Linked DNA regions of Drosophila melanogaster. The protein of the gene in region 2 interacts with the protein of the main gene of each other region in a pairwise test. Each region holds a gene or a part of one and is shown on either strand. Other genes may lie near its edges. The genes, in order: CG8191, CG11200, CG7220 and CG33144.

Region 1 (3,694 bases), on a different chromosome or scaffold from region 2:
TTACTACCTGTTTGAAAAATAAGTTATTTTTAAGCCCCAGAGTCCAGGTGGACTTCATTAATAACTTAACTTAATATTTCACAGTAGAATTTATATTAACAATTGGTTTTAATGTCTGTGAGTTACAGCAAATTTTATCAGCACCAGTGACAGCTATAGTAACTTTTTAAAATCGTGACTCGCGACTAGTTTTGAAATGAAAGGAGGTGCCATCTCTAAGTTTAAATGAATTTCACACTTTTCGATTGAGTTAAATAATATCAACAAAATCGAGGATATGTCCGCCCTAAAAAAATTTTATAAAATCAGCGCAGGTGTGAGAAGAGGCGCACTACTTACCAGTTCCCGAAGAACACAAATTGATGCTTTAAATAGTCCACAATTGCAGTTGCAAGTGCATCACTTTGCAACCAAAACACAAACAGCTGTTTTTAGCAGCAGCAACAACTACACGTGCATTTGCCGCAGTATACACTGCAGTAAGCCAGTGGTATGTTTGGAAATCAGTTGTAAATACAAATAAACTACCCAATTGATATTAAATAATGTTATTTACATTTGTAATTTAAAATATTATAAATGGAATGCAATATTTAAAATTATGTATAACAAAAAAGTTAAGTATAATTATTTTGCTCTGCTCCCAGGACGATGCGGACAAGACGGTGGCCACGAATAGCATTCCTCTGGCGAAACTGGAGGCCAAGATGCAGCTGATCTACACCTGCAAGGTGTGCCAGACCCGGAACATGAAGACCATTTCGAAGCTGGCATACCAACGCGGCGTTGTTATCGTGACCTGCGAGGGCTGCTCCAATCACCACCTGATCGCCGACAATCTGAACTGGTTCACAGATCTGGACGGCAAGCGCAACATCGAGGAGATCCTGGCCGAGAAGGGCGAGAAGGTGGTTCGCCTGACCGATGGCAACTGCGAGTTTTTGCCGAAACATGATTAAACTCGTAGTGTAGTTAAGTGAAAACGAATGCCACTTTATTTAGCAGCTCCAGCAAATGTGTCCAGGAATTGGGGGGTAGTTGGGCACGCAGCTGCTGGGCGAACTGCCGGCGACATATGGATCCGGTGGCCAGCATCAGGTAGGTTATGTATGTGGCCTCGTTCACGGGCAGCTGCGAGACAGCCGTGACTGGTGCATCAGCGGTCAATTGCATCTCATCCAAGTCTAGGTAGGGCAGGTGGCGATTCCAATGGTCGATTAGGTAGGCAATAAGGCTGCCGGCCAGACGTACATGCTCCATACTGGCCCAGAATCTCATCTCATTGGCGGATTGCGATACGAACAGAAAGATATTGTGCAGGAAGCCGGTGCAAGCGGTAGATCCGCCCTCCGATAAAGTGTCACAGATCATGTGGCGCATTAGGTAGCAATCCTTGTGAATTTCGCTGTCCTTTGGCTCCCTAAAAAGCTGCAGCCACACCTGGTACTCAATCAGCTCCATGGAGCGCTTTATTGCGGTCTGCATGTCCTCAAGGCTGGATAAGCGGCCAATCCGCTTGACTAGCCGTCGCATCTGCTGAAGATCGGGATTGATAAAATCGCTGGAAGAAAGCGCATCCGATTGGCGTATTGCCGACCAGTCCAAATCACCGATCTCACTCCACGCAGGCTGAATCTCGGCCAACGTTCGATGCGAAAGATGAAGCAGTGGTGCATGAGTTTCTCCCTTTCGTGTGTTCACGATGGTGGTACACAGCTCACGAATACACTTCCGTCGATCCACCAATGCAGAGCAGCTAGCGAAGAAGCCACGGCAATCGCAGCGTTCGGCCAGCGATTGCCCGAAGCGATCATAGCACTCGAACAGGTACAGGTGAGCCTTTAGCAGGGATTCCACAACGGATTGGCTCAGTCGCAGATGGCGGTGCTCGGAGTGCATCTCCTCCTGACAATCGTGCAGCCATGTGAGTAGCTTGAGACAGTGCGGCGCCACATCTTCAAGCACGCTGCTCGTGGATAGGCTCAGTTCTTTTCGGATAAACAAATCCATACGGACTGCAGCTGTCAGCTGTCCGAAAATTCGATGTCACAATCGATAATGTCGATCGGTTTGCTGTGCATGAGATATCGATCTGTCGTTGCCCGTTGCGATAGAATCGAATTTCAAATTGAAAGGCGCCCAAATTAAATGAGATCGACATTAAGACCTTATATATGTATTTATTTATATATATGGCGTACCCATCCTTTCCAGCCGCATTTATAATGAGCATGTGAAGTGATTTCTGAAAATTTATTGTGATAAATGAGCTTATTCTTTATTCCACATTCTTTAAGTTACATCTGCGTCTCATTATTTCAAAGGTAAACATAAAATGCATTAACATAAGGACTTATCTCTTACATCAAAATACTTTAATCCATTTAAATATTTTTTCTGTTGCTTCCCTTTATCTTCGGTACGTACATTCACTTAAGTAAACAAGTAACCCAAGTGTGTAATCTGTTTATGTGCATTTGCGATCTATAAACTACGTTTAATCCTTTTCTATTCGGTTTCGCGTTTGGGTAAATGAAAATGTGTCAGTGTATTTTTTTTCTTTATATAAATCCTTTTCTTTTGATAAAAATGTGCAAAACGACAGAGATAGATTCCAAAAAATTAATAAAAAAAAAGATGAGTTGCGCAGAGAATTTTAAATCGAATATACTTTTCGCGTCTGTATCAGTTTTATATTTTATATTTTTTTTTGTTAGGTTTCCTTAGTTTTCTTCCGTTTTCTTTTGAAAATTTAAGAAAATATATATTGTATATATATATAGGCGCGAAAATTAATAATTAATTCAACATTTTTATATATACTATATAACTATATGTACTGTTTATGTATGCAGTTTCTGTTGCCGCTATCGCAAATTTGCAGTGGCTGTTCTGTTCTCTTCTGTTCTGTTCAATTCAAATCAATTATGCATTTCTCATCGTTGCACCCGTGTATTTGAGGGCGTTGTAGGAATAGTGTTGCGTCCATGGTTTGTTGGTTACTGGTGGCTCTGCCGGCTGGTGCTTGAAGCTGCCGTCACAGTTGTCGCACCTTAGGCGAAGCCAAAGCCCTCGGAGCACTCGTGTATGGCCTTCAGCAGGCAGCTCCGCAGCTTGTCGTATGACTTGTACATGGGCAGATCCAGTTGGTTGAAGCTGCAATCAGAGATGGGTAAGTTAATACGGTCTATGACATTGCAAACAATTCATGCGACTTGTGGATCCCTACTCACCAGGTGTGTGCACAGGGCAAGCGATCAGTGGATCGATCGTCCCGATGGATTTGGAACTTTTGAATCCCGTTCATGCCCTCCAGCGAGCCGAAGCCCTGCAGCGGCACTTTCGATGTGCCAGTGACGAATTGCAGGAACTTGGCGCGGTCCGCTTGGTCAAAGCTACGCAGTGCACGCCAGAACCATTGAATCTAATGAATGGGTAAAAAATACATGGTTTAGAGAGGGATGGAGGATGGAGGAAGATGCACAATCATGGTCTCACCTGCGCCGATTTAGAGGTGTACTTGTGGTACTCGGTGTTCGCCTTTAGATCTTCAATGTCAATATCCGGCAGGCCGGATATGAGAAGTTCCAGTTCCTGTTCGTTGAATATCGAAATTAAATGCTTTGGAATAATGTCGTAGAAGCCTTCAAGGAATGCGTCCAATCTGTTGTGGGGAGTAGCACGATTTAAAATC
Region 2 (6,257 bases):
TTGGATATGCATTAAATATGAGATTGTTTTTTTTTTTGCAGCCATCATGTCGTTCGCTTTTAAGCGTTCAGTTCGCTTAAGTGACAGTCGAGTTGTAGTTGCTTCGCAGTTGTTTTTCGAGATGATACACCTACCTACCTGAGTTCCTCCGTCTCCGTACCGCTCTCCTGGAACCCCCATACTCCTGTCCCCTTAACTGAAGTCGATTAAAATTCCTCCAAAATGTTGAATGTTAATCGCTCATTGTTTGAGGAGGCGCACAAAATTAAATTGTTTGCTTTTTCGAAAATTTGACATACAGCAGATATGACGTGGTTGTTGTTGTTGTTGTCACCTTTCAAGCTGCCGCCGCCAACTGCTGAGTGCATTTTCAAATAAATGTTTCTTGCAGCTCTTTTAATTGCATTCCCTAGCCCCACGATGGCAATCAAGCGCAGACAAGTTAATTAAAACCTAGCACAGCAATTTGACCAGATTAGCATCAGCAGATCCTGAACACAAAACACCAGCTGCAGTTCTATATAAAAATGTTTTTATACAAAAGAAATCGATTTACAAAAAAGCTGACGGTATCTAGAAAAGTACGTTGCACCAGTAGGAGGAATGTGAGATAGACTGAGTGTGGAGTTCATTTAGTATTCGCCATTTCCGTACTGCTGGATTTTCAACAGGTCGCAGGAGAACTGGAAAAGCTGCTCGCACTTTGCCGGCTTCTTGGCATCCGGATGGAAAGGACCCTTTCCGCCGTTGGAGAGGTAAGTACCACCCTGACCCTCGATGGAGGGATCAATGGCCGCGAAGACCACCGTGCGGGATCCCCTTTCCGGAGTCTTGAAGAATAGCTTCTTGAAAATGGGCACCGATGTGGTGGCCGAGTGCTCGAACAGATCCGTGTCCACAATGCCCGGATGCACCACATTGACCTGCACGTGCGACTTTTCTGCATCCAGCAGTGTCTGCAGATGGCGGGTGAACAAGATCTGAGCAAGCTTTGACTGACTGTAGGCGGTTCCCGGGTAATAGTGTTTTCTGCAAGCAGTAAAACCTAGTAAATAAGGAACTTAGGCGACAATTACTCAAACGTACGTTCCGTTAATGTCCTTATAGTTGATGCGTCCAATGAGATTCACGCAGGAGCTGACGTTCACGATCCTGGAGTTCCTTCCCTCCTTGCCTGCCGCCCTCAATTGAGGCAGAAGCAGGTGGGTGAGCAGAAAGTGTCCCAGGAAGTTGATGGCAAAGTGCGACTCGTAGCCATCGGCGGTTAGTTTGAAGGGCGCAAACATGATGCCAGCATTGTTCAGCAACAAATCCACTTTTGAATACCGCTCCTTGATGAGCTGAGCAAATGCCTTTACGGATTTCAGATCCCCAACATCCAGTTGCTCGCAGATGAGCTTGCCCTTGGTAGCATTCAAGTCGACTATCGATGCAACTGCGGTTTCGGCAATTTTGGGATCACGAACGCCTGCAATAAATGCATAAATTAAAGTGAGCCACTGACAAAAATTGCTGAGAGGACAGAACTTAATTAATAAATATCCTTTAAAACACTTTTTTATGAGTGTTTTCTAATCTACCCTATTTTACACAAAATATAAGCAATATAAGCGACACCTAGCGCCTGTATAGCGCACTTCAAGCTCTGGTTTTTACATCTATACATTTTACATAAGTTCAATGTAGAAAATAACAGTTGACTGTTAAATGATTAAAATGTTTATTATTTTAACTAGCACTAACAATAAAATTAAATATATTTAAAAAAAAAAATGATTTCTTAATAAATGAATTTTCTTAGAGACTAAAATATGCAGTGAAATTGTAAGTAAACGTATTAAAGCAAGAAATTGGAAAAGCAACAAAAAATGCCATTTTCAAAAATGTTAACGAGAAAATACAAAATAATTATTGATAACTGTGACCCTTTTCATTGAAATTTAGAATTCTTTTCTCCGACCAGTCAATGAACTCTTATCGCTTGTCTTTCCCGAAAATCGAGACTTTTACGCGACTTGGTTAGATAATGAAATCAGGAGAATGGGTCATGATTTCTGTATCGCATTGACAAGGGTGGGAATGGATCTGCATTTCGACGATCGTTTATTCGATGTTCGATTTTAGCTTGCCGAGCACGTGCACTTGCAGCACGGTTAAATGTTTGTGGAATTCATAAGCAGATCGCCGACTTATGGATAGGAATAGGCCTGAAACAAGTTGTTGGGCGGAGATTGGTCAACTCACCCATGACGACAGTCATGTCGCAGGCCAGCAGCTTCTCCACGATCCGCAGTCCGATGCCGCGATTGCCTCCGGTGATGACAGCAATGCGGTCCGGTTGTTTATAAAGTGCTTAATGGATAATGGCAACAATTAGTGATCGTGGAATAAGCATCGGCTAGCAAATTGACTTACCCACTCGATCCCGTGCCTTATACTGGGCATCGTGGACGAGCCCAACGATTCCCAGGTACTGATACCGAAACTCAGTCTTCCACTCGAACCAGGACTTCGGGAACTCCTTGGTGGTCTTCGAAAAGAGGAACGCACACAGCAGCAGGCCGACGAAGAAAATCCACAGCAAAGTTCCCAACATTATACGCTCTTATCGGATCGGATCGCCGTCTCTCCGGAACTCTGCAAAGGGAATACGGGTTTTGATAAGAAATCGGGCAAAGTGCGCCGGCTGATAACGAAAACCGATCCTGGTTCGTCACAGACATTAGCCATTAGCCGGCAACATTATCAATATTGGCGGGTAAATTCGCCTCGAGTGCACTTTGCGAAACTCTTCAACTGAGTCAGCAAGATTTCGCGATCCGAGTGCCAGCGGGTACATCTGTTGGCCATATTCGTTTGGAATTCTAGGTGTGTTGGCCATATATACTTGCCAGAGATTGATTCGTGTCACGATTCAGCTGCGAATAGTCGAGCTTCTACAATTATCATGCCTTTATACTATCAAGTTGGCGTAACAGTAGAGAGTAACTAATCACTTAAAAATGTGGTTTAATTATAAAGCTCGAACTTTTTGTAGAATGATCTTTGCTATCAATTAAAAAGGCTTTTACAAAAGTGCTGTTTTAACGCACTAATCCTAATTCGACAGAGTAACAAGAATGATGTTTGAAATCTCAGAATTTTCACCAGGAAACCCCATTTTTGGGGATAGAAGTCTAATAATTAATAAACTTTTTAATGATATTTATCAGAGAGCGTGTTCTGAAATCGACTTGACCCCATTGGCCGTCGAATAGCTTGAGTTGTTGCCTCTTTCCCTCAGTTTTTTCTTATTTGCCCAGCAATTTCCAGCGTTGGTTAGCCGGGCTTATAAAGCTAACGCGATTGTTTGGCCACCGATATTTGCAGTGCATATTTGCCACCTGCACTTTGAGCGCTGCACTGGAATCTTAATTTTTAATCGGGCGGGGAAACAATTAAATTAATTAGACAGAAGATAGTTGAGCGCGTTTATTGGGAGACAGCGAGAGAACTGGCTTAGGTGTGCTCGTAAAATGCTAATTAAAAACCCAAACAGCGGCGGAATGAAAGTTGAAGAGCCGAGCTTCGAGCCAAAGCCAATAAACGGGGCCAAAATAGTGAATTTGGGGCCAGAGCTGAAAATGACTGAGGCGCTAAACAGCAACAACTAGGGTCGGTTTCTTTGGGCTCTTCTTGCGGGGGCAGCGGGGAAATATCTGTACGGACGACCTAGCATAGTACACTGCGAAAAACTCTTTAGTATTGGTGTAAAATATAAAAATATTTACAAATTGTACTGCGCAGAATGGTTTTCCATTTTAAGAAAGTTAAGGAAATAGAATTATTTTTCTTGAGTGAAGGTTGTTTGAAATTCTCTTAATTGCTTTATCTTTTATAATAGATTGCACTTAAAAGATAAGAACTTCACTACAAATTAGAAATAGGTTTTGTATGAATTTTTCATTTTTCACATAAAGTAATTCCATTTTTTCTGTGTGTACGCATGACACCACGAACGTGCTGTCAAGAGTTTCGACTTCCGTCAACAAAACGCAAAAGCTTAGCAGTTTTACTGTTGTTGCCGCGGTCGTTTTTAATTTGGCTGCATATGGTTAACTTTCTTTTTCTATTGTTGTTGCCCTTGCAGAGGGCTTTTCAATTTTACCTTCAATTTGGCTGACGCAGACGAAAATGCACCTGTGCCTCGATTTCTATGCTAATATTGACACCCTTTTTTTCAATTAAAGGCTGCGGCGGCGCTTCCTCGTCTTTTTGTTTTCTTTCACGTTTTCGAAGAGGATCAATCGCTGGTGTTTGAAAACCGGTTTTTCCAGCGGGCCCTTATTTTCGCCACAACCGCTCGGCGAGAAATTCAAAAGCGAACTGAACGTTAGGTTTTAATTGCGCGCCTTTCCGCCAAGAACTTGATCCACGATTGTTGTTGTTTTGTTTTGGCTTATTGCCGCTGGTCAACAGGTGAATTTTACCCACTTGCCGGCTGATCACGCAGAAAAACAGCTGATATTGTACAATTACGTGGTTATGCAATGGTTAAGCGGGTCGGTCGGCGTGTTGTTACCTTAGTGTGCACTCACAAAAACGCTGATTTGAAACAACTTAATTGAAATAACTGCAGACAAGCGAAAATCCAAGGTGGATATACATCGATGGCACCAGGGCTGCACTTTCTCTGTTTCAAAATATCGATTGTTGATGTAATCATCGATATCTGCCGTCAGTATGCATTTTTCTTTATTTTGTCCTTATTCATTTGTAAATCATAAGAAACCTGAGGTTTTTAAACAAATGTTTTTATTACAGAGAAACAGAGTTTGCGTGTGCAAAAAATACCTAAATGTTGAGCTAAGCTTATTAACAGTAACATGTCTATTCTATGTTAAGCTACTGTTACCAAACTAATCGATATCACTGCCATAAAAATATCGAAATTCAAATTTAAGGCAATAATACACCTTTAATCTTTTCATGTTAGTTAAAGTTCAAGTAAAATTATGTTTTAAGTCTCCCAACAAAATACCTTCTTTCTTTTGCTAGCTGATTTATTTATTGAACCGAAATAGTACAGTGCATTTAAGTGTTTAAACGGAAATATGTTCGTACAACAATTACAATTTATGTTTTGCCTTGATACCAGTTATAACTAATTTTGCCATTATATAGTTGCGCATAAGTATATATATAGTTTGAAATTAGAAGAACCTAAGCGAAACATTGAAGTCTAAACTTTGCGCATTTCTTTTAAATATTTTGAATAAAATTTCGTTTCGCTTTCGATTAAATAATTCAGTTGGGATTACCATATAGAGCGTGTTGTCGTGTTTATAGGTGAATAAATATTTTGAAATATATACTAGACTAAATTGAATATATACTTGAATCGTGTGTGCTGGTGTAAGAGGTGCCTATATGCTACTAAAAAGAATATTACTGTGGAAAGGACAAAGTATTCAAAGTATTCAAATAGGTTCGGAACTCTAAGTTGCAGCTGCGTTGTCAATGTCTTTTATCGCCTGTTCCTCCATCTTCGTTTCCGTTTCCGTAGCAGCGACATCCTTAGGCTCCTTTAACTGTCAATTCTCCACGGACATGTTGCCGATGTCATCGTTTATGGCCAGCACCTGGCTGATGAAGCTCTGGTCGGTGACCACCTCGGCCAGGGATTTGCACAGTTCGGTCAATTCCGGCAGCGGTATCTTCAATTGCGGCGCCAGCCTGCTAAGATGTTGACCCACATAGTCCGGCAGCTGATGGGTGATAATAACTGGGTTAGTAATGGGTAACCATTGGCTATAGCTATCAGTGATCCTTACCTTTCCCTTGCCCACTTTAAACGCGCTGAACATCAGCTTCGTCCGCACTCGCTGCTCATTGGGTCCGTCGTAGAAGATGGTGAGGTAGGCCTCCTGCCCATTGGCCACCAGCGGGAAGTAGATGCCCGCATAGACCTGACCCTTGGCATCGCGGGAGAGTAGCGATCGGAAGTTGTACACCAGATTGCGGCGCACGGTCACGTCGATGGCCGTGATGTACTCTTGGGCCACGTAGATCAGCGATGTCTTGTAGCTGGTATCCTCGCCACGGATCTCGCGCTCCTTCCACTCCACGAATTTCCCATTCTGCTGACTGTAGGCATAGCAATAATCACGCTGCAGATGCGGCTCCTTGGATTGGGTGAACCAGCCTAGAAACATATTGCATCCATCAGTATATATGTATTACAATAGGCTAAGCGGAGATTACAACTCACCAGTGTG
Region 3 (6,833 bases), 9.6 Mb from region 2:
ATACGAGATACAGCTTTTAAAATAGATATAGAATTAAATGTAGCCAAATTTAAATAAAAAAAGCATCTTTGCTTAAAAAACTGGCAAAATACATATATTTCATAGCTTAAAAATAAGCTAATTGTTTGTCCTATTCTTTCTTACGGGTATCTACTGTACATCGAAAATACTGTGTTGAATCAGCTGTTTGTACTAAACACATCTAAAAAAAACACATCCATTCTAGGGACCACAACAACTTTTCTAAACTGTCGTCAGTATAACTTGTCAACCCAAATTGGATTGACAAATTTTTAAAACAATTATTGTACTCCGCTGAAATTAAACTATTTACCGGCGTTCAAAGCGGAAAACTCAAAAATACCTACACGCGGAACAGCTGAGTGCGGTATTTTTTAGTTTCGCTCACAATTTGTACGTGCGATGCACGAATCGTTTTCAACACTGCCCGGAGGGTCACACTATCCACTCAGATATTTATTTTTCTAATAACATTTACTTAAAAGCAGACTTTACGCAGAGCTTTGGCCACGGAGGAAACGGAACAGATAGCCAGCGAGCGGAGCAGCCAGGACTTGGAGCAGGAATCGGCAGGAACACCAGGACGGATTTCCCCAAGACAAGCAGTAGTAGTATGTCTTCGAAGTCGCCAAGCGAGGTGAGTTCCCTTTGAAGTCTTGGGATAATTTCGATATCCGAGGCGTATTCAATATAGTAGAGGGTTTTAACCGCAGCTGGGCAAATGTTAACGATCCGGAAAGGTTTCCCTTCCGCAATCGCGTGTCGGACTGCCATCCCACGAGTAGAAGGTTCAACGTCATCTTATCGTTCTAGAGATTCATAGCTGAGGAGTGACACAGCGCTCTGCAATGATAAGCTTGTCCAGCTTCTTGCTCGATCTACCAGTCCGTCTATCGTTATATAACTTATTGGTTTCTGCAGGCCGAGGTCGTCTGACCCCGGTCGCTAATTGCTGCTAACCCCGCCATAATCGGGCCGCTGTTTGTGCCCACCCACAGGCCACAGACACGGCCCAATGTCATCTGCCTCCCAATGGCCAAATGTTTACATGGCATTCATTGCACTTTCCCTTCGCCTGAATGCTTGTTTATGCCACATAAACAATGCATTTGCATTTTGGCAAAAAACCTTCGATCCTTGCCAGCTCGATGCTCTTTAGGGAGCTGTTAACCTGGCATGGGGAGTTTACTATAGCTCGCTTGAATTTCATTACTTTAAGGGTTTGCCATATGACCATAAAGTTTATAAAACCTGTGTATGTATCAAGTCTTGGCATTGTATCTTTGCTCCTTGGCAATACGTCTTATATTTAAAATTGTATTGTATATTTTACCGGTCGGGATATTTATTGTGTACCTTTTTTAATAAGCATTTTGTACCCGCGCAAATATAATCTGGTTTAATATTGTTCGTTTATGCAGCACCTTTCTCATCAAGCAATGTCTTTTGTATACACATAAGTACAATACATATGTGGCTCACGCGGATCGCTCTCCCGTCTGCCGAAAATAGAAGCTCATCGCCATTGACGCCGCTCGCATTCAGTGCTCGATGCCACGCGAATTCGCACGCGCCGCTCTGCCAGATTCTTCGCGACGCGAAATTCATAAGCCAAAACACTTCGATTCGGATCCAAAGTGCGCAGGTTTAACTTTTGCCAACCATTGATCACCGGTGGCCAAGCGTTTTTCCCAGGGATCCTCTTGTCCGCTCCTCAATTGCGACATCATTGGCACGCGCGAAACATATTAATTGCCCGGCGCTCCCATTTACTCATTAGATCACTATAAATAAACAGCAAGCCATAGCCACCACATTTTAGAACCAGTTTATAGATCGTTTTCAATACCATGAAAAGTGTTTTCAAATTTTGTTATAAATCTGATATCAGCCTGTAGTTGAAAATCAAGAAGTATCAAGCCTTCGAAGTGGCATCATGAAATATGCATGGGCCAATCCGATCACAAAGAATATCAGATTCGCCATAAGGAAGTGTTTTGCCTTGTTAGCACTCCCGCGAGTCAATTAGTGATTTATGGTTGAGTTTAAAAGGCGGTTTCGAATGGCATCCAAAGGGCAGCAGAGCAATTTAGCTGTTTGAAAGTGTCTCCTTGATAAGGTCTTGGCAATAGAGGGATTATTGAAGTCACTGACCTGCCAAACGTGATCGCTGATCGGCAGATTTAATCGCTGTAAAGTGTACCTGCGCAATTTCATTGACGTTGCGATTAATATGTCACTTTCCTCATCAGTTTTCGCATCACCTTCACAGCGAAGAACGCTTTAATCTCAGAAGAGAGACACCTTTGCATTTAAGTCGCTTACATTTCATTTTATTTTAATTTAATTACTGCGATTCCGTTGTCTTTTCCTCACAGCAACAAGTTTCGCACATTGTAATTACACACGCCTTTCACGTGTCTGCGACAACAACACGTCCTCGTTCTGATGGCTTACGTTTCCTAGATTTCCCTACGGCTATATACAATACTTCCATGTCAGCGGCAATCGGCCAAAGGAGATGCTCTAGATGCGCTATGGAACTTGTTGCTCATCCGCCGCGAACGTGACACATGTCGATTGCCGCTCTCTTCAAGCTGATGATAAAGCCGAAACTGGCGCATCAGGTTTTCGTTATTTTATAAAACGCCACTCAGCACGATCTCTGACGTCAGAATGTACGATGATGACGTACCCGATGATTTATCGACCGGTGGCGAAGGGGGCAGGTGGCTTCTTGCCAAGTTTAAGGTTGCAGCGAGTTTATTATACACACTTATGGCCCATCCCTCGGTTCTTCCGCTTTCACCTTTACCGTAATGCGCTTAGCATTTCTCCGGTTCAGGAAATCGCTTTATATGGTTTTCAGACCGGGCCTCTGGGCCTCCCACTTGCATAATTTGGCCAGAGTGTAGTGGCTTGGGTTTGTTTATTTTAGCCTGGCGTGTGATTCACAGCCCAAGGTTGGCCAGCAAATGCGATTTCCAAAACATTTTTCGTGGCGTGATTCATTTCAAATGATTTCCCCATCATGCAGAGCCACCCACAATCCAAATCTTATGTGTTTATGTCTACGCTAATCGTCCTTCACCCTCTGGCTTACCTCCAAAATACTGCGGCTATCAGCTGCCAAAATGTTTATCAGCCACAAAGATTTTGGTGGTGGCACGCTTTATTCCTCGGCCATTGTGCTTAGCCGAAAAATATTCTAGGAAAAAGCGAAATAAATAAAAAACAGACGCGTCCCCCCTTTCCAGCGCCACCAAAGTCTGGCAGTCGCTGGTTTATTTGTTTACACTCTGCTTGGCTTTTATTGCCGAAGAATTTTTCGAGTCCATTGTTTGGTTGTTTTGGCTGTTTTCATAAAATTTCCCAGGCAGCGCTCTTCTAGACGTTGGCATTCAACTGCAGTTTTATTTATTTATTTCTGGCTGATTCAAGCAGCTTTTGTTTTGCTCTCTAAGTTTGATTGAGTCTAAAATAAACGCAAGTAGCCCCCGCTGAGTGTGGCGCGTGTTTATTGGTCTGGCCTACTTCAGCGCTGATTTTTTCGCGTTTGGCGGCCCATTTGGGTCCATCATACTATATACTATACTATAGTACACTATGGTTGCGGAACTTATTTAATGGGTCCACTTAAATTGGCCTCGCTAAGTGGTTGTCGATCTGTCGCTTCATTTAGAACCAGTTCTCTGTAAACCAGTGTCCGACTTATATAATCGATCATCTTCTAGGGCCCTGCTTGATTGCTTTTAATCATGAGCAGACGCTCGTCTTCATTTCAGTTTAAAAGCCGAAGATTTCATTGTGCCATCAATTGAAATGTATGCCCCATTGACGTATGCAACCGTCTTGAACACTTGTGTTCCTTTTGTTCGAGTATGTGCAGTGAGCAAAATGAGTTCGCAATTTACTGGGAAAATGCTTCTTTATGAACTTCAGTAAGTGCTGTTTACCAGTTGAACTTCCGTAATATTAAAATTGTTGATTATATATAAATATATTTTTGGTACCTCAATGCGTAGAGCTTTTCCCACACTGTATTAACATATACGTAGGATGTGCTTATCGCCACTTCCGTCGCTGTAATCTAATCGTGTGCTTATCAGGTAATGGCTGCGTGCCAGGGCAGTGGTCCGATAAGCGTTTCTGCCAATACCTTTGGTGGAGCGAGGGGCTGTGAGAGCCACCATTTCGTGATCCGGGGACACAATCGCGACTTAAGTTTAGGACCAAACCAGCTGGACGGGCAACTTGTTCAGGTTAACGAACTAGTTTGGGCCGTTTCTCGCTGCACTTGCGAATTCTCATTTTTGATAGTGCACAACCAACGTAGATATGTATACACAGATCGGGTGAGAGCGGGGGGTGGTGCGATTGGAGAGGTGCCGAAAGCGGCGACGACTTCTACTACTTGTGCCCGACAGTACGTACACAGAGACACGTCGCTACATCGGGCTTCGTCACTCGACTCGCCCTGCAGTCTCTCCCACAATTTTCTGGGCGCTTTCCTGCAGTCGTCCCACGAACGTTGCCGCAATTGGTCTACACGAATCGGTTCGCTAATAAAATGACTGCCATGCCCCACGCCCACTCTCGCCTCCTAGGAAAAACGCTGGCATATTGAACTGTGCGACTAACTAACTTAAATACTTAAAAGCAAGCCCAGCAAGCCGAGAGCAATCTGCCTAAAAGTGACAAGTTATAGGTGACACAACAAAAGCTAAAATTTGTGAGAAACTGTGTGAAAACTAGAACTACAAAATGATGAAGCTGTTTAAAAAACCCAAAGACAAAATACCCAAATCGGAGATTTTAACCGAGCCCAAGGAGCCCAAAACACCGCCGGTCTCCAAGTGCGGAAAACCTTTGCAGTTGGACAACTCGCGATGGGAGGCAAGTATATTCGAGATATTAAACCTGAACTTTGGCCAGATATCGCGTTCGAACAACTGGTCGTTAATATACATATAGTGTTCCATTGCATCATGAGTATGTAGTATTTTGAGTTTCAAGAAATCTGCGTGAATCTTCTGTTGATTCTCTTCAAGGCTGTACCAAGATTTGTTTTTATTATTCTTGGCATTGCCAAATCCAAACCTTATCGATCAAACCCATTTATCCGCAGCTCATTTGTGGGGGCAGCGGTGCGATACTTGTTTATGGTACAGAAAACGGGCCTGCAAGTGCCAATCACTCGATAAGAAGGGGGATCCGAAAGACGGAAAAACAATCGTCGGTTCTATAAATTTCAGTGACATTTGTTTTTATCTTATCGAGCATTTCGTTTATTTATACGCGCGTAGGCATATAGCGTATATTGGCGTTTGTAAGCCAAAGGAGAAATGGCGCACCGATAAGGCGAGCGGAAAAAATAAGTCTTGAGAACTCTTAAGTAGAATGTCCCAGCTGTAGGTGTGTTTCGCGATAAGATATACGGCGAACTGTCCGAGTCATTAACTAATATAAGTCTTAAATTTTATTTTCTGCCCCACAGCGCCGCCTACACAAAGAGCTGATGTCCCTGATCAAGGAGCCGCCACCAGGCGTAACCATCGACACCGAGAGCGTACAACAAAATTTATCCGAGTAAGTATGGACTTCGAGGCGGAGTAGGCCAAGTTCAGCGACAACTGAAACTGGTTTAAATCAATTCGCAATTCAGCAATTCGCACTGAAAACAAAGCCCGCAGTTGTTGGAAGCTGACACTAATATCGCTGTTTTGTTTACAGATGGAAAATAAACATTAAAGGTTTCGAGGGCACACTTTACGAGGGCGAGGACTTCCAGCTACTTTTCAAATTCAACAATAAATATCCGTTCGATTCGCCAGAGGTAATAATTCAGTTGAACAAAGCGAAGCTGTATGGAATCTTAACCATGTTCTCTTAATTTCCAGGTGACCTTCATCGGCACCAATATACCGGTGCATCCGCATGTCTACAGCAACGGACACATCTGCCTATCCATTCTGACCGAGGACTGGTCCCCGGCGCTGTCCGTGCAGTCCGTGTGCCTTAGCATAGCCTCCATGTTGAGTAGTTGTCGCGAAAAGAAGCGTCCGCCGGACAACACGATATACGTAAAAACCTGTAATAAGAATCCTAAAAAGACTAAATGGTGGTACCACGGTACGTATGCGTGATTTTCCAACTAAAGCCCACTGACTCTAAACTTGACTAATTGTTTATTTCAGATGATTCTGTTTAGTTAAAATTGCCATTTACTAATACTGCCTGCTATTGTTTGCTTTGCGCATCCAACCAAAAAAAAAAAAAAAAAAAAAAACACCATTAGCAATACAGAAGTAGAACACGGCGAGATGCCCCCAGAAATCCAAGAAATGTGGGACGGCGGTCAAGCACTGCTCGTGAGTGGAGCATACTAAAACCCAAGTGCACTCGGATGCGAACGTAATGTGCAACAAAGTAAATGAAGTTAGCGAGAAACTTATGGGTAGTGTTTGGCAAACAATCGTGGCGCATGCAAACAATTCTAATTGTAGCTATGTGTAATCAACAAAAGGCGTGTGCGAAAAACTATTATTAAATGTTAACATTTTAATTAGATTGTTAAGACCAAATTTATGTCTAAATTAAATGTTATCCTACCATTTAACCACTAAGCGTATGCAAACCACTTGAACGTTTGATAGTTCTGGCACCTCGCGCCAGTTGCTGCTTCCACATTCCACATGCATCGTTCGCGGCATTTTCTGCCCGAGTAGCGTGACCCAGCACACACACACATCGCCTCCATCCCAGCTTATATTAATTTTGTGTATTTTATCATCATAGATGAGAAGCAAAAC
Region 4 (4,647 bases), 9.5 Mb from region 2:
AAAGCCGATGAACGGAATTAGTTTTAGTAAAAGTTCATCATCCTTGAGTAGTTTGTTGAACTAATGAATTCGCAGACTAATTTGGATGGATATCGATTAATGTAAATTCGTCTACAATAAGTAGTAACAATTATAATACGGTACAAAAACAATTATAACCACAGAATCTATTTCCTATCTAATTAACAAGTTAATTGACGAAGCACCTGATGTTTGATATTGGCAAATATTGAGCATATAGTCACTAATTGGTGATCAAGTGAAATGGGCCTGAGGTATAAGTCGTGCACATAAAATATAGATAAACTCCCATTTAGGTGAGTGTGCCAACCAATTTGGAGGTCACAACAACGACCGTCCTAATGCTCGATGATGAGGTACAGTCGAGCCTGTGTATGTCAAACTTAAGCCGTATATGAAAATAGGATTTATGTGTTATTATAAACGAGTCTTCATAAGCCAGTCCATATCGAAGAGTTCAATATTGATGAAAGCCCAATGTCAATTTATAGAAGCTCCACTGTAGCTGCTGTGGGCACTGAGGAAGGGGAACTGACAGTGGGGCAGATGGCGGCCTGTAATATACTCCTGCCTCCATATCCTTGTGCCGCGTGCACTTGACATTGGCTTTCGAATCGGGTCTGTCGCGGCATTCATGCGCGGCGCACTGGCAGGGGGTTGGGGGTTCCGGGGGCGGAAGGTGCAGCTTTGCCCTGGTAATGGCATAATCGACCCCCTTTCTGGCCCCTTTTCGTTGCGGGGGCTGGCCACGTGCCGTTCTCATTCGGCCGTTTCTGGTTTTCCTGTTTTTCCTGCTGCTGCTGCACTTGCAACAGCAGCCAAAAAACCTTGACATTAAGCAGCGTCGTCGACGAGGCACAAAATCCTGCAATTGTGTGGAAATCGTCCTGCAAAAAAGGCGCTGTACTTGAGCTGTCCAAGCCACATATTTGTGCTTCGAAAAAACCGGGTTCCTTTAAATTGACATTATTACCAATTTTTGATTATTTTCACAGGCATAAAGCCAATATTAAAAATAAAAATCATTGCAATAACCCACTTCTAAACTTCAATACCAATATAGTTGGCTAGAAGAAATTACCTGTCTATATTATTACACATATTGATATATGTATATTTCAGATATATTTCTGATGAATACGACCATCTTAGACAATAGCAATTCGTTAAATATTTGATATCTATATCTTGTTCCTATGACAACTCAGATTAATTACTGGACGTATACGTTCATACTTATGCATATGTAAAGTTCGCAATAATCAATCAAAATGTGCTCCTAAATCGTTTGTGCGCCATCAATTAGTCGGCAGTTATTTTCGGTGACCCCGACATACGAGTGAGTGTAATTGAAATACATGGATGTTCGGTTGCCACAATTGCAATTGAATGCTACAGTTGTTGCTGTTGCCCTGACAAAAGCATAATAACAAAAACACAGATGTTCCGTCAGCAGGTTGCATTTCGAAGAGAGCAGCGGGAGAGGGAAACTCTCTCTTCTCGCGTCGTGCGCAGTGCGCAGGACGTGCAGCACGGCAACACTGGCCATGGAAGTGCGACAAATGTGTGCGGTGGAAGTCCGTTTGTTTATTCGCTTGCGGAACGCGTTTCTCGACGGTTGGTTCGGTCGCAAAGCGGAAGTGCTGGCGCAACGTGCAACATCCGGCGGCAAAGCAGCAAAATGCCAACACAATAAAATCAAAAAGGAACCTGTAAACACACACCTCCAAAGATATATAGTTAAATCATAAAAAAAAATTTACAAAATTATAAATATATAAAAAGTATAGCCGAAATTAGTGTGCGCTTGTTGATCAAATCAAGAATTAAAATAGTATATTGAAAATAATCAAAAATTGTCAAGTGCTTTTCGAAAGTATAAATATCTTAATTAAAACCGTGTTAGACCCCCATTTCGAAATCGATTACAAAGGGTCGAAAAGTTTGTGAAACCGATTCGTAAGTGCCCAAAGAAGTAAAACCCCCTCCGCCAACCTTTCACCTTTCTTTGTGTGCCACATTCTCCTTATGTGTGCCGGTGTGAGTGTTTATGTATGTTAATTAAATTACCGTTATGTGTGCTTACCACAGCAACACACTTACACACAAAAACCAGCTCTATCGCAGTAATTATAAAAAAAACAAAAGAAAAACAAGAATAATACAAAAAACAACAATTACAAAGGCCACTGAAAATCCATTTCCCATTTCCTTGGGCTCCCCCCCCCCGCATTTCCTCTCTACTTTCCCCACTCATCATCGCATGTTTTGCCCGCCCTGACACTTGGGGCATATTTCTGTGTTAACTGGGCTGTGCGTGTGTTTATTACTGCGACTACGGCCATTGGCACGTACATCGGACGGAGTACCCTCAATTCGACGCCCATGTCCTTGCCATGTGCCCTCCTCATACACGCCCCTGCTGGGCACTACTCACAGTTATTAAGCGTCTTATGGCAACTCTCAAAGCGGCCCATAAGTATGCTATAGTTTTTGCTATTCTGCTGAAGAGTTAACTCAGGAATACTTGGAGAAAATTGTAGTACATGAATACATTACATGATAAATATATAAAATAAAATATTTTCATAATCTTTTAAATGGGCAACAACAATAAATTCGCATAAAATAAACCACTATGAATTGTAATGTTCAAAATTTCTGTTGTACTGCAATAAAAAAGAGATTTTAGGTTTTAATGTATGGGCAACTTAATTCGGTACTGGCATTAACCTATCAAAGAGTGTGACGTTTCTCTTCGTGTAGGAGCAGCAGGTGCATTTCACTCAGAATTTCAGGTGATAGCAGTGAGCTTCTGACCAGAAATCAATAGAAAATCAAGCTTTACGCTTATGGATCTAGTTGGGGGTTAGTCAGTCGCCTGCTGCAGCCATATACATACGTCGTTATTGCCCTTTGTTACATTTACCATTTGAGCCACTTTTATGTTCGGCCCTTTGCACATCAAATTGATGATAAATTGCAAATTGCGACCATAAAATCCCCAGAGAGTTATTGAAAAATTTCAGCGAAGAGGTCGTAAGGAACCGATGAAAAGGTATAGCATTTCATATTTATGGTATTTCCTGCCAGCATTTCATTTCAATATTAGGAAAGCAATAGGTATAAAAATGCTCGTGTAGATTAATAAATGTTTTGGAGAAAACCTACCTTGAATGCGAGTACTTTTTTAATTGGCATTAATATTATAAAATACATATTTATTCAAAAGAAATTTATTTTTTCTTTGAGCTAAAGAATCGATCAGTGTGACAACTTATTTTACAAGTTGTTTAAGCTTATTAGTTAAGAAAACCCAATTTTATAGTTTGACAAATGACATTGGCCACCAAATTGCGATTTGCTGTACAGTTTTCCAGCCAGTTTCTTGCACTTTCAAATGTTTGATCTATGCAATCCATCGTTGCAGGGCAAGTTAGACTGAAAGCTTTTTGGAGTCATTATCCCGTATTTCAATTAAGGGCGAAAAAAATTCGCGCTCCACACATAGAACACCAAATTGTACGCTGGCGATGGTCTGGCTCAATTAAACGACAGCGAGTCCTTCGCTGGTCGGAGTTGAGAGGACGAATTCAGAGGATTTCCCGGTATAAGGGATACGGGTGGTGACATCTTCAAATGGCACATGCCCGTATGCAAATTGCGCCATAATCTCCACTGAGCGTTGGGCATTGAGTCGTCGCCTATTGATTATCAGTTTTGCATACTAATATGCCCAAGTTGGCAGTGCATTGAAATCGAGCCAAATAAAGTGACAAGCTCCGTGTCCCACTGTTTGTTTCTGCCCGTCCCTGTCGCTCCTATCGCCTCTTTCGTCCCTTTCGCACGTTTGCCATGGCAGCTGTCAGGGGGGGGGGGGGGTTCCCCTCGCTTGAATGTGTGCGATGTGTCCGGGCTTAAGTAGCTTTATGTGTCTGGATGTGTGAGTTTTGTGTGGTTATAACATTTTTTTTTGTTTTTCGCTTTTCTCGGTTTTCGATTTTCACCACGGTATTTCCACGAAAAGTTGTTTTTCCTTTCGATTCTGCTTTTTTGCTGGCATTTTTTGCTTAACCTTATCGAGTGAACTACAAAAACGAAGAAAAATAGTAACTACAAAATATTTAGATACAGTATAGGTGGTCATTTCTTCATATAGAAAATAGGGCTATTTTACATCTATCTGAACTTGAGTTTAAAGGATATTTTTCGAAAAAAAAAGCTATTTAAAGTTTCTTTCCCCTTACTTAATGTTTGTTGAGAAGTGTCGTCAACGGTGCCATTGTTTTATTATCACTCCGTAGTTCCCTTTTTTTTAGGTGGGTTCTATCACATTACGTATACGCATTTAGTTCCAATTTTTGCCTCTCGTTCCGTGGGCTTCGCTTTATTTTTATCGCCTTGCGTGTGTAAGCGAGTTTTGCTTGTGCCTTAGTGTGTTACTGTGTTTGCATTGCCAGTGGCGGCCTTTTTTTTGCTTCCGCTTTTCCTCGACTGTTTTCCACTTGCTTGTGTATTTCCGCTGTAGTCATAATGGGAAACAGCTGATAGTACACGCCCCCTCACATCGTCCCCTAATCGAGCCCTTTTCTCCAGGGACACAAACAGAGGGCGGAGCGGCCATAA

The links.
Region 1: the proteins of CG11200 (region 2) and CG8191 interact in a two-hybrid assay, tested with the Drosophila melanogaster proteins (one large-scale study listed by BioGRID).
Region 3: the proteins of CG11200 (region 2) and CG7220 interact in a two-hybrid assay, tested with the Drosophila melanogaster proteins (one large-scale study listed by BioGRID).
Region 4: the proteins of CG11200 (region 2) and CG33144 interact in a two-hybrid assay, tested with the Drosophila melanogaster proteins (one large-scale study listed by BioGRID).

What each region holds. Positions count from the first base shown.
Region 1 is NC_004354.4:15,730,507-15,734,200, reverse strand, and holds CG8191 (uncharacterized protein), read right to left. Parts: upstream 2,024-3,694; 5' UTR 2,011-2,023; coding exon 973-2,010; 3' UTR 960-972; coding exon of another isoform or gene 648-959; 3' UTR 538-647; downstream 1-537. Other genes in the region: CG12379 (uncharacterized protein), read left to right, coding at 278-490, 648-959; HUWE1 (HECT, UBA and WWE domain containing E3 ubiquitin protein ligase 1), read right to left, coding at 3,054-3,156, 3,234-3,424, 3,499-3,664.
Region 2 is NT_033778.4:20,304,000-20,310,256, forward strand, and holds CG11200 (uncharacterized protein), read right to left. Parts: upstream 4,673-6,257; 5' UTR 4,562-4,672; intron 4,501-4,561; 5' UTR 4,148-4,500; intron 2,638-4,147; 5' UTR 2,597-2,637; coding exon 2,416-2,596; intron 2,353-2,415; coding exon 2,245-2,352; intron 1,469-2,244; coding exon 1,087-1,468; intron 1,030-1,086; coding exon 633-1,029; 3' UTR 518-632; downstream 1-517. Other genes in the region: CG13868 (uncharacterized protein), read right to left, coding at 5,574-5,747, 5,814-6,184, 6,251-6,257.
Region 3 is NT_033778.4:10,731,139-10,737,971, forward strand, and holds CG7220 (uncharacterized protein), read left to right. Parts: upstream 1-1,560; 5' UTR 1,561-1,658; intron 1,659-4,242; exon of another isoform or gene 4,243-4,681; 5' UTR 4,682-4,785; coding exon 4,786-4,917; intron 4,918-5,518; coding exon 5,519-5,610; intron 5,611-5,754; coding exon 5,755-5,857; intron 5,858-5,921; coding exon 5,922-6,153; intron 6,154-6,218; coding exon 6,219-6,232; 3' UTR 6,233-6,287; downstream 6,288-6,833.
Region 4 is NT_033778.4:10,795,673-10,800,319, reverse strand, and holds the start of CG33144 (uncharacterized protein), read left to right. Parts: upstream 1-1,610; 5' UTR 1,611-1,980; intron 1,981-4,647.